Rattus norvegicus: one gene and its partners. The protein of the gene in region 2 purifies or fractionates together with the protein of the main gene of each other region. This does not show direct contact. Links are inferred from orthologs where the notes say so. Each region holds a gene or a part of one and is shown on either strand. Other genes may lie near its edges. The genes, in order: Stxbp4, Ptpn14 and Wwc2.

Region 1 (3,621 bases), on a different chromosome or scaffold from region 2:
ATAACTCACAGAAAGTCCCTGAATCTCTCTTAACTTCCTTCTGTGCTACATTCGTTGCTAACTCGGTAACATTTAGCAAATGTACCCTAAATAAATGGCTATGGGGAGTACTTACTTTGGTTGTTTTAAAAATTGAAAATGTATTACACACATTATATAACTAATGTCTCACAACAGTGGAAGAAGAAAGACCCCGACTTTCATCATGGAGCAACTGTGACCCCACATCTTAGACTGGCTGCTTTAGTCATCTGTCTTTTTTGTCTTTCCATGTGAGCTCCCAATTTAAAATAAAAACAGTCTATCAAGAGACTGGATGTTAATTATGTGAAAGGAATACTAATTAATATTATTTCCAAGAATCACTAAATCTCAGTAATTAAAAGGTATATAATTTTGGTTAAAAAATTCTAACCCATTGGAAAATCCTTCTCCCAGGCAGAGGAAACATGAAGATGACAGCATAAATTGCTGTGAAGTCTGATGCTGGTTTTTCTTTTTTCTTTGGTGCTGGGGACTGATTACAGGGCCTCAGCCTGGTGAGCATACGCTCTGTTGATGAACTGACCACTTGTTCATGATTAGGAGCTACTTCATCTAAACCAGTTCTCTGTATTTTGTAATTCTAAGAAAAATTAATAATGTTAAAAATTAATATATGTGGGTTGTAATTTAAATCGTTATTAAGAATATGTAGTTAGTCTTTTAGTTATAGTAAATACAGTTTCTAAATTGTCTTTAACTTGGAGACAATTTCAGTGGAAGGATTATTTTTCTCGATATTCGAGTCAATAAGAACTTTATGGAGTGATGAAAATCCTTTTCTATGTATAGCTTAGGTCATTTTGATTTGATTATTTTTAAAATCACTAAGTCATTTTACAGTAATTCAAAAATTATATCAAAGGAGGTATGGATGTCCTTTTTAATTCATATCCGTATGATAGCTTTCAAAGCAAACGAACAGATATCTTTCTTTAGTTCTGTGCTATGTGTACTGTGTTTCCAAAGCTGTAGTTGTATATCCCATCAGTACTTCAGTAAAGAGACAAGAACTCGTATCTTGACTCTTCGTTACTTGATTTCCTTGGTTCAACAATTCGATAGCAATTACAGCTTCATAGACATTTATTATAATGCACTTTTTAAAACTGCAACTCTTTGTTCAGAGATAGTTCTAGCAAAAGTCAAGATTTAACAGAAAGCATCAAACAATACACTTATTTTGCTTTTTTTATTCACTGAAAGGCACTACGCCATCTTTAAGATCTATTGAGTCATATTACTAATTTTCAATCACTCACTGAAAAAGAGTAGTTGATAAACAGAGCAGGAATTAAATGGGAATTTACCTGCATTGGATGTGTCTGTAGGGCGGTTGTTCAAAGAAGGAACTGGAGCAAGCCCTGCTTGACTGTGCTCAGGTTGAGTCTGTGAGGGAAATGATAAGTCACTTTCTAAAGTAGGTCAAAGCACAAACTAGACGCGCATGTTAACATAAATAGAATGGTTAAAAAGATCAAAGAAAGATTCCAAAAAATATGAAGTTCCTAATACTCGCTATATTCATCTTCAGAGAAAGCATTTCAGAGTGGAAAGTAACAGTGCTTTTAGTCTATCGTGTCTAAGGGTAAGAGAACAGAAGGCCATGCCCCTTGTCTTTAAAAGAAGCAGTCCAAGCGCTCACAGAACAGTCTTTTTGATCACCATCACCTTGAACAGACGTTACCTTAAGGAACTCATCTATGAGTGAAAGTCTACTTGCTTCTTGTGTTTTATTCCTAACACAGATTTAAAGAATATAGATTCTACTTTGGAATTATGATTTATTACGACCATGTAGCAGTTCAAAGCAAATACATTACTCTGGATATAATAAATTCCTCATGTTTTGGAATCAAATAGGTAAGGTGAACAATTTCATAGGACACACATGTGAGGGTGAGAGGAACACTATCCATAGACAGGATGATCAGGATCAGCCTTAGCATGAAGAGAAGACACTAAGGACTGAACACACACACACACACACACACACACACACACACACACACACACACGCACGCACATGCGCGTACACACACACACACACACGCCTATCTTTTATTAGGTAGAAACAGAAAATTGGGGAATTAATGATGTCTAGTATCTTTATGGTACCATGTTGTTATATGTTGATGTTTTCTAAGTTTTTAAAGAAAGGGTACATTAGCTTGAAAAATCTGTTTTACATGATAAAAACCTAAAAAGGAAAAGTATTTCAAGGAGATATTAACTTATTAATAAGCATTGTTAATGAAATTACAATTCTATATTGATTTAACCAACAACAAAAAAAGTAAGAGATTTATGGACTGAGTATATAAACTAGAATTTAAGGTTACCTGAATTACTGTACAGGAGGGTAAAATGGAGTCCTGAGTCCTGGGAGTGGATGAAGTCTTTGGAAGTAGTGTTCCAGCGGGAGAGGAAAGAAGATTAAATGCTGAGGTTTGAGGTTCACAGTCTTCTGACACTGGTGGGGACTGACAGCAAATGTTTCCTGGATGACCACAGTAAGACTTCTGTCTGATAAATGCTATCTCCAACGGAGATTCCCACCTACGATTTAAAGAGATTAATTTGTGGATATTCAACAAATGCGGTCAAGTAAATGCAAAGACAGTGTTTCTAGTACAGTGAAAACCTTTAAGATAGCCTCATCACGACCTTTATATATATGTGCTCAATGACTCATCCTATCATATGGATGGAATTGTTACCTCAACTTGGCTCTGGTAAGTATGTTTTTTGCTTCTTCAAATGATACACCAATCATAGATTCCTTGTTTATGGAGACAAGCTGATCTCCTGGCTTCAAACGTCCATCCTAAAAATAAAAGCCAAACAGAAAATTACAAAATAATAATAATAAAGTAGTTTTAACAAAATTAACCTAAGAAAAGCAAATAATCTTGTGAATAATGCCATAAACAGAGTAAAAAAATTAGAGAATCCAAATAACAAAATGTTCTATTACTGGCTAGTTAAGTATTATACATAAGGAAAATTGTGTGGTTTATACATGCAGTGAATAAATCCTTATGCTAATGAATCAGTCTACCATAAGAAACTGGCCTGTACACAAAAGGGCACTTGTTTTCAAAGCTCAGCTCTGAGTCTGATAAGATTCTGACTCAGATAGAGCAAACCAAGCACTCACTGCATAAAGAATATTTCAGAATAGGAGACTCGTCTACCCCAGTGAACGAGCATTTGCCTCTTTCCTCCTACAAACTGTTTAACTCGGATGTCAGGATACGTGTACACACATGCATGTGCATATACACATGCAGACTCATACAAACATGCACGCACATTCACATACAGAACATGAACGGACCTGTCCAAACATGCACACTACACTGACTTTTTAAAAATAAGGTTAAGAAACCTAATTGCATTGGTTTTATGCAAATCTTAGTTATCACTCAAGTATCCTCTTTACTAGATTTGTTAGCCCTTCCTGTGGCCAAGCCAACTAGGCTGTGCATGTGGTATCAGATGTCATGTGCATATGTCCATGCTGATAATCACCAACTTTAACTGGATGTCTTTGTTAAGCCCTGGACCTATGCATAA
Region 2 (4,158 bases):
CCAAGTGCCTAACAAAATTCCGAGGCTCGGGATGGATCTGAAACCCACACAGCACTAGGTAACCAAGCAATGAAAAGTTCAAAAGAAAGAATGTGTCCAAATTCTTTTTCAAGAAACAGACAAGACTGCTGGAACCCAGGTGAGCTCAATTTGCTAGGAAGAGGTCAATATTTGTATCCCTGACGGGCAGGAACATAATTCAGTCAGAAAGCACATGCTGGGGAAATCCTCAGTCCTAGACTTCTGCTCTTCCACAGAGCAAGGGAGAACTCTTCTGAAAACTCTGATTTCCTCTGAATTCTCTGTGCTGTGCCAATATTAAAAGTCTCCCTTAGGCAATTCTCTTTCAACTGACCACGGAACATATGCACACACAAACGTGAATAACTGCGGTGCTGTGAGTTGGCACAAACCAAGGAGGAGATCCCAGAGGAGACCTAGGACCAATCGGTGAGGAGAAGCCACGGCCTCTTGGTACACACTTCCCTCATGCAGGTCCCACACACATTCCAGATCTCCCATCATGGAAATGCTTGCTCTTGAGATCAAAGATGGGCTGGGAGAGAACCTTGAATAAACACACTCAAGTTGCAAGGAGCCACTTCTACGTACCAGCTTAAGACACCTGAAGGCTGGAGATCTGGTGTCTTGGCCAGGAGCAACCACTAGGCATATACACTTCAGCCCAGTGAAGAAGTCCCTCATAGAGGTGACTGGACAACCTCTCCTGCACCAAGGAGCTTTTTCCGGCAGGATGTACTGGACCCTGCGTTACAGGGATGGGAGATTTCAGTTTCCACAGGTTCAGAGAAAGGAAAGAAAACCTCAAGACATTGCGGAAACTACTTTTTTTTTTTTCCGGAGCTGAGGACCGAACCCAGGGCCTTGCGCTACCACTGAGCTAAATCCCCAACCCCTGGAAACTACTTTTTAAAGGCAGTGATTCTGAGACACAGAGCAACATCCTTGAACTGATTCTCCACATGCCAGCCACACATTCCACAGGTAAGGTGGCTGTTAGGTAAGAAAGCTGTTAGGGACCTGGGAAAAGGAAAATCACTTGCCCGGTGAGCAAAAGGCCCTGACCAGGTTCTGTCCCCAGCACCAAAGGGGAAACAAAACCAAACCAATTCTAAGATACAAATGTCAAAAGCTCCCTCAGGACAAGGTTCTGTAGGGAGATGGGGTGGTCCTCACTGGGATACTTTGACAGAACCAAGGATGGGTCAATTAATGACAAACACCTGTCACCCCCCAGAACCGTGTGGGAGACACATCAATAGAGGAAACACGTCCAAAGGGAAAGCTTTTGATCCTTGGAAGCTACTCCTGGTCACGGGAAGTGGGTAAGAGACTTCCGGTTTCGTTTCTGCTGGGGTGGGGGCTAACTATGCCAGCAACAGTGCACCAACCTGCCCATACATGCCCCGCCAGCCACCGGGTCTCTCTCCAAGACTTTCTGCACGCCCCCCTCCGCGCCCCTCACTTTGCCCAAGCTGTTTCCTCCTCTGGAATGCAGTCCCTCAACCACTCCTAAGTTGAGCATCATTCCCTCCCTCGACGAAGGTAACCCCTTTCCTCCACCACCTGGCCTTCACCGACTCTCACAGAACCCCTCTCCTGCAGCACATGTCCCTATCCGCCCACGGGCTGCCTTCGGGGTGCTGCAGACTCTTGTAGTGGGATCTCCTGGCAGAGGATTAGACTCACCACTGAGTTCGTTGAATGAATGAGGGAGGGAATCCATTTCAAGAAATAAACTTGTTTTGGAATCTGACCATCCAGCAGCAGTCTGAACGTAACTCGCCTCCAGTAGGACCCCGTAATAGCTAATCCGTGGACGGACTAAACTCAAAACCGCACAAGCTCCTCAAACCGAAGGAAGAAGGGCAAAGGAAGGGGATAGTGACAGCGCACATCAATTCCTCCAGAAAAGATAGGAAAACCATTCCCAAAGATTCGAAACTAGACGCGGGGTCACGTGGGAAAGGGGCTGCTAACTCTCAGAACCTGCAAAGTTCGAGCTGGAGATCTGGTCTGAGATGCACACAATTTTTCCCTGCGCGCTTGTCGGATCACCCAAGCTGGAGCAAGAGAATCGGGAGTTTGGTATCACCTCTGGGGCATTGGAGAGAGTGCACAAGGACTCCTCACAAACTCAGTGCCCACAGAGGCACAGGGCACGCTTGGGGCGCTGCGCTGTATTCCCCTGCTGGCAAACACAACAGGAGCTATTGGAGACGTTTTGGCTGAACCCCAGAGTCCCAGACCGCGCTCCCTTTCCAGCTCAATCCTGGAGGAGCGAGCGCCGCACACGAAGAGAACCCGGCGGCCGGCCACCTGGCGCCCCCACCGCGCTCTCCGGCGTCCGCGGCAGCAAGCCCAAGTTGGCTCTGCTGGAGTATCTGCTCCCGACTGGCTAGCTTACCTGCTTACATGGCCCGGGAGTGACCCGGGTGCCGCACGTTGACCATCAGCGAGTCTAGGTCCCCACCACTGGCTTCTAGAAGCAGGCAGAGGAGGGGCGCAGGGAGGGTTACGCAGCGGCCGCCGCGCTGGGCGCACCCGGGAGGAGAAAGGGCCAAGAACCTGAGCACCGCCGTCCCGCGCGAGGGGACCGGGGCGATCGGAGAGGTGGGGCGCAGAGAGGGACCGCCAGCAGCCACTTGGCACCAGATGCTCCACGAGGACCTGCCCTATGGACGAGTCGGCTGAGCCGAGGAGCGCAGCTAGCTGGCCGGGCCCGCGGCCGAGGCGCTGGGCAGCGGGGAGAAGTTGTGCAGAACTTGAGCCTCGGGAGAGCCCGAGCGCCAGGAAGCGCGAGCGGCCGGGAGGGCGGAGGAAGGGGCCGGGTGGGAGGGGACGAGCAGGCGCCGCTGGCCGCGCTCCCCCGCCCGGGGCTCGGCTCCGCAGCGCTGGGGGCCGGGAGGCGGGGAGTGCGCGGGGCGCTTGCTGGGCGGGCCAGGAATGCGTCCGGGGAGGGCGCGCGCCAGCCTCGGGAACGCGCGCCCAGCGCTGAAAAGAGGAGCCCGGGCTCCCCCGCTGCGGGCGCACGGTCCCCAGGGACGTCACAGCACTGGAATCCGAGGAATGCCAGGCTGTGGGAGCTCCTTCGGCCGACCGGGCAGAAGTCGTGCACTTTTAATGGGCTAGCTTTGGAGCGTGTTTTCCTTCCAAGGTGGGGGGCTTGGACTGAAGGGACGTGCCTGGAGTGAGATAGACTGAAAGTGGAGAGGGGGAGATGACCCAAGTCAACCCAACTGTGCGACGCTTAGGAGACGGAGGGGAAAGCGGAAAGGAAAGGACGGTCCCTCCAAGATTTCCGTGGGCAGCTAGGGGGTGGGACGCTGGAACTAGAACAGGCCATTTATTTGAGTGAGGTCTCCAAGCAGGATGCCCCCATGCCGCCACCGCCCAGGAGACGCGGGCCAAATTAGGGTGGCCTCCTTGAGCAGACAATCTAGAAGCTCTCCTCGGAATCCTAGGATCTCTGAGTAGTGAGTCTTAGCTCCGGTCCTCCCACCCCGCCCCCACGGCCAACCAGCCTTTGTGTGCTAGGAGTTGGAATATGTGGTTTTCCCGGTTTGTTCCAAGCCACGGAGGGGCCCCACCCCGCCTGGGTAGGCACTAGGAGGGAACTGCGTTAGCACTTTCGGAGGTGGGGTTACTGAGGCGCAGCCGGTGTAATGGAAAAGGCACTCAGCCGGGCTAGGGAACCTGTATTAGGCCCCGCTGAGTTGCTGGCCAAGTGGTTAACTCAGGAAGATCCCAGCCCCCAAGCCCTGATCCTTGGTTTTGGTAGTTGTAAAGTGAACGGGGTTGCCTGTATTTTTAAGGTGCCTTGGCGTCTGTTCTCTTTCGGAAGTCTCAAGACCAGTCCTTTCAAGGACCCCGAAGTCCTTGTCACCCAAGATATCGTTAAATTACTTCACTGTACAGGCAAGGGATACAAAGCTTCCAGGCCTTATCCTATCAAAATGGCACTCTGGCGGCAGAGACAGGAAAATCACAAGTTCTAGGTTGGCCTCGACTACATAGCAAGACCCTACCTCAAAACAAGAATGAAAGGTCTCTTATGCCCACAGAGCAAGTGTGTAATGGCTGGCTTCTAAGCATTCGCCTGTCTGCAGGACGAAGAAGAATTAAAGAGGACCCAGG
Region 3 (4,231 bases), on a different chromosome or scaffold from region 2:
CCTCTCCAGTAGACAAATGTGAGGTGATAGGAAGCACGTGAGCCGAGGCAGGGGAATGAATGCTTAGAAAGCCTAAGCTTTTTGGCGGCAGTGAGCCGGAGACTCCGAGTGTCCGCAGAGCTGCCATACAACTGTAAAAGTCAAATATTTATACAGGTGCCCCACAAAACCACCGCCATGTGCGCACCCATCCGCACCGACGTTTGCTGTCCGTTAAGTAGTTTCAAAGTGCAAACGTATAAGTAATAGGCTTGGAGCATGGTGAGGTTTATGACAGCTAATGTGCCTGGAGAGACTATGGAGGTGTGACTCCCGTCAGAACCTTCGTGGAGTCAGCAATGGCCTGTGGGGTGTGCGGAGGTGAGGCCTGGGCACAGGTGTCTTTCCTCAACATGAGGGAAACCTAAACCTTATCTTCATGGATAATTTAACAAGGATTGTTCCATAAATATATATCATTCGGGATTTTCTTATAACTGCTTTTTAATAGCTTTCACATACAATAGTTGTAGGAAATGAGTGCTTGGGGATAGCGAATAGAAAAGTGTGTTTCAAACTAAGAAGAGGGGGTGGGGCTTAACAGGAAAAGCTCCTGAAAAGGCTATGACCTCTCAGACCATGTAGGACTTTTCAGGAATGCTAAAACTGCAAAGGGCAGGGGCATCCCCGACAAGATATTGAATTTACAACGAGGAACAAATCCGGCTCGGTGCCTAGCATCTGTAATTCCTGCATTGAGGAGGCTGAGGCAGGGGGATTGCTGTGAGTTTGGTACCAGCCTGTGTTACATAATGTGTCCCAAGCCAGTTAGCCTGAGCTGACAATACAATACAGTATGAGGCGGTCTAGAAAAAAATAACAAAACAAAACAAAAATACCTCTTTAAGGACAGTTTTCAAATTTACAAGTAAAAAATGCACTCTAGTATTCCTTTATTTTTATTTTTTTTAAATTTTTTTTTGAGACAGGATCTCGAATAACCCAAATTGGCCTTGAACTCCTGATCCGCCTTTCACCTCACAAGTGCTGAGTTTAGCCAGATGTGTGAGACCATACTGCGCCCTCTAACAACTTTAATTCTAAGAAATGTTCCTCCTAAAAGTGAAGAGAAAGTTGAGAAACAGAACACTGGTGAGCATTCCACTAAACTTCAGCTCCTGAACTTCTCAGATGTCTGCCTACTTGCTCAGATCTCCAGGTAAGAACAAAAACGCTTGTCGTGAGACCTGTGCAAAATCAGGCTAAGCTTCAAGTCTGGGCTACCCGTATCTGTAGCCAAGGTTCAGTCCCAGTCTCCATGCCATTTCACAAGAAAATCTGACCCAAGTTTTCAGGTGAGGAACTAAGGTTAGAAGCAAAATTCCAAAACTTTTTTTTTTTAATCTTAGGGGCAAAGCTACAAAGGTCGAGCCAGGATTGGGACCCCACTCTCCACGTACAGGACCTAGGGCATGGTTCGGGGTGCGCCCTAGTAAAAGCTTGCAGTCAATGCTCAGGAGCTAGGTAGGTAGGGCTGGAGAGATGCCACAGGTGGCCCAGATGGCTAGATGTTCACCATCACTTAGGCCTCCGGGAGGCCCTGAGCTCAGCGTGCCTCACAGAGGTCGAAAGGTGCCCTCCCCCTCCATCTGACCAACTTTAAAGAGCACACCGGAGGTCTAAAGAGGGGTCAAGTGCCCCCCACCCTGAGCCGGCTAACTGGACTTAGGGTGCCAATCCAGGGCACCAATCCGGCCCTTCCCTTGGGCCAGGGAGTGTCTACAAGTCCCTGAGGGGCGTGGGGAAGGCAGTGGGCAATGGGGCCCAAGAAGGGGCGCCTGGCGGGCAGACACAGCCGCGCCTAGGCCGGTCCCGCGCCTATCCCGGAGCCCCTCAGAGTTGCAGAACAGGAGACGCCCCACGCCCCCCGCATCTTCCAGGTCTCCCAGACAACAGTCGCCGCAGCACTTCCCGAGGCGGGTCCCCGCACCCGGCCGGGGCCCGGCCGCCCACCTGTCCCGAGGGTCGATCCAGCTGGTCCTCCTGGTGTTGTGGTCGATGTAGAAAACCTTGCCGTCGTAGTCCCTGGCCTCCTCCCAGCCCCGGGGTAGCGGCAGCTGCCCGCTCCCGGCTCTCCTAGGCATGGTCGGCGGCCTCGCCGGCGAGCGGCGCCTCCATAGGGACCCGGCGCGGGGCGCGGCGGGAACGCGAGTGCCGGCAAGGGGCGTGCGGGGCTCGGGGCACAGTGGGCCACGCGCGGAGGAGCCTCAGGAATCCCTGCTCTCAGCCCTGCCGGGGATCAGTCCACCATGTCTGCGTCGGAACAGGCGAGCGAGCCCTCCTCCTCCTTGCCGCCGCTGCCTCCGCCTCTTCCTCCTCCTCCCCGTCCCCCTGTGGCTGCCGAGGGTCGCGGCGCCCAGGCTGCCCCGGCCGACGCCGTCTGGGCTCGGATCCGGGAAGCTCCGCGGAGCAACGGCCCGGCGGCGACTGGCCTCCTCATTTGCGTGCGATTAGCATGCGGCCCGCCCCCGGCCCGCCCCGCGCCCGCCTCATCTGCATGCACATTCCTCGCCGCCACATTCCTGAGCTTAACCCTGCAGCTGCCGGGGCGGCCGCGGCGGGACGCGGGGCTGAACCCGCGCGGGGGAGGGGAGCGGCGAGGCCAGGTGGGAGGCGGGAGGGCGAAGGAATGCTCGGCTCGCTCCCTCCTCTCCAACCCGAGGTGTCTCCTCTCCGCCAGACCCTTTGGGGATTTAGGAGTTTTCTGGACGAGAAAGAAGTCTAAAGAAAAAAGTCTGCAACCTTCCCAACCTCTTTCCGTCTTCTAGGGAAACCACAAGACTTTCGAGAGGAAAGGGTGGGGAATGCTGTCCTGGGAAGAAGTCCCAACAAACAGTAAGGGCACAGAACGCCCCCACCCCCAACCCCCACGCCGCGCCCCGTGCCTTGGCTGTTCCTAGCGGTGGGGAAGTGTGCAAAAGCGCTGGGAGTGTGTCCGGGGCGTGTCCGGGGCCGCAGCGCCCCCCGAGCCTCCCGCTCAGAGTGGCCCTCGGTGACCTCACCAGGGACCTCGCGGGCCTAAGGGAGCAAAGTAAAGGCGGGTCCCTATCCATGAGCGCCGCGACACGTCCGCCCCAATGGCCCACGGGGCAACTCCGGCCTGATCCTTAGAAGCGACAGGGCCACCCCGCCACTGTCGCCGCCACACGCGGGCCCTGGGGGTCCGAATCACTCGCGCCTCCCCGCCGGGGCAGGGCCATGTGCATCTGGCGTCCCCTTCTGGGTTTAAATCCAAGGGACGTGGCTGCGTCCAATATCTAGTCCCTTCCTTCCAACCCTCTGTCCTAGGAAGTTCTTCGCCCGAAGGTGTTAATCACTCCGAAGGGAGCCCAAGGCAGGGGTCAGAGGCCACACTTTGCTTGATCAAGGGTCCATCTATGAGATGTAGATCTTACCTCACAAACATTTATTTATTTAGCTATTAAGTGCTGGTCGGCACTGAGTAGGAGCCGGATGTCAGACACTACAAAGCCTCGGCAGAGTCAAGACACTAAGCTTGCAGTGTCCCTTATCCTCAGTCTGGAAGGGAGCCTTTCTGTCCCCAACCTTTACAGTCTGCTGTGTGTCACCACCCTTGTTAATATTCTTCCAGGCCCCTAAGCAGATTATAGCAGCACCTTAGGAAGAAAGGCCCCATCGTTCAGTCCTTCACCTCTCGGTGTGAATTCCCTTAATCATATGTGCTAATGTAATAACTTCAGGACCTGGCATTGGGCAGGACATTTTCTGTGTCTGGGCACTTGCTGAAGTTGTCAATAGAACTAAACAAGTAAGAACCAAGCCTTGAATCAAGCTTCCAGAAGGGGACTCCACATGCTCTGAAGGGGATGTTAGGAAGAGGAAAGGGACTTATTCTGAATGAAACAGCTTGTGCAGAAGCAGACACTTGAAATCCCCCAGAACTGGAAAGCCGGGTACACCTGGGAAGGACAACCAGAGAGCGGCTGTGGCTCCCGAGGGAAACCTCTCACTTTCTAGGTCTTTCCCATAATGCCAAGGCCTGTGGAAGCTGGGTTTTGTGCTTTGTCCAGGGAAGGTTCCACTTCCTAACCTGTTTTTTGCCTCAGCCCATTAGTAGTAAGATAATCAGTCAGGGTCCTAGTCCTCAGTAGGTAGAGGGGTTCTGTTTAAAATTAACCTGTTACACTACTGAATGTGTAATTCTCTATGTTGGCCCATTCACATGGCCAAA

Evidence for each region.
Region 1: the proteins of Ptpn14 (region 2) and Stxbp4 purify together in Homo sapiens (affinity purification with mass spectrometry; 3 studies listed by BioGRID and IntAct, counting the BioPlex papers as one, with this or other methods). This does not show direct contact. The link is inferred for Rattus norvegicus from reciprocal best matches to the Homo sapiens genes PTPN14 and STXBP4.
Region 3: the proteins of Ptpn14 (region 2) and Wwc2 purify together in Homo sapiens (affinity purification with mass spectrometry, with the first as the bait; 3 studies listed by BioGRID). This does not show direct contact. The link is inferred for Rattus norvegicus from reciprocal best matches to the Homo sapiens genes PTPN14 and WWC2.

Annotation. Positions count from the first base shown.
Region 1 is NC_086028.1:75,917,659-75,921,279, forward strand, and holds part of Stxbp4 (syntaxin-binding protein 4), read right to left. Parts: intron 2,870-3,621; coding exon 2,763-2,869; intron 2,602-2,762; coding exon 2,385-2,601; intron 1,432-2,384; coding exon 1,353-1,431; intron 1-1,352. UniProt on the Homo sapiens protein: Plays a role in the translocation of transport vesicles from the cytoplasm to the plasma membrane. Inhibits the translocation of SLC2A4 from intracellular vesicles to the plasma membrane by STX4A binding and preventing the interaction between STX4A and VAMP2.
Region 2 is NC_086031.1:103,798,171-103,802,328, reverse strand, and holds the start of Ptpn14 (tyrosine-protein phosphatase non-receptor type 14), read right to left. Parts: upstream 2,836-4,158; 5' UTR 2,429-2,835; intron 767-2,428; exon of another isoform or gene 613-766; intron 1-612. UniProt on the Homo sapiens protein: Protein tyrosine phosphatase which may play a role in the regulation of lymphangiogenesis, cell-cell adhesion, cell-matrix adhesion, cell migration, cell growth and also regulates TGF-beta gene expression, thereby modulating epithelial-mesenchymal transition.
Region 3 is NC_086034.1:50,989,704-50,993,934, reverse strand, and holds the start of Wwc2 (protein WWC2), read right to left. Parts: upstream 2,840-4,231; 5' UTR 2,124-2,839; coding exon 1,993-2,123; intron 1-1,992. UniProt on the Homo sapiens protein: Regulator of the Hippo signaling pathway, also known as the Salvador-Warts-Hippo (SWH) pathway.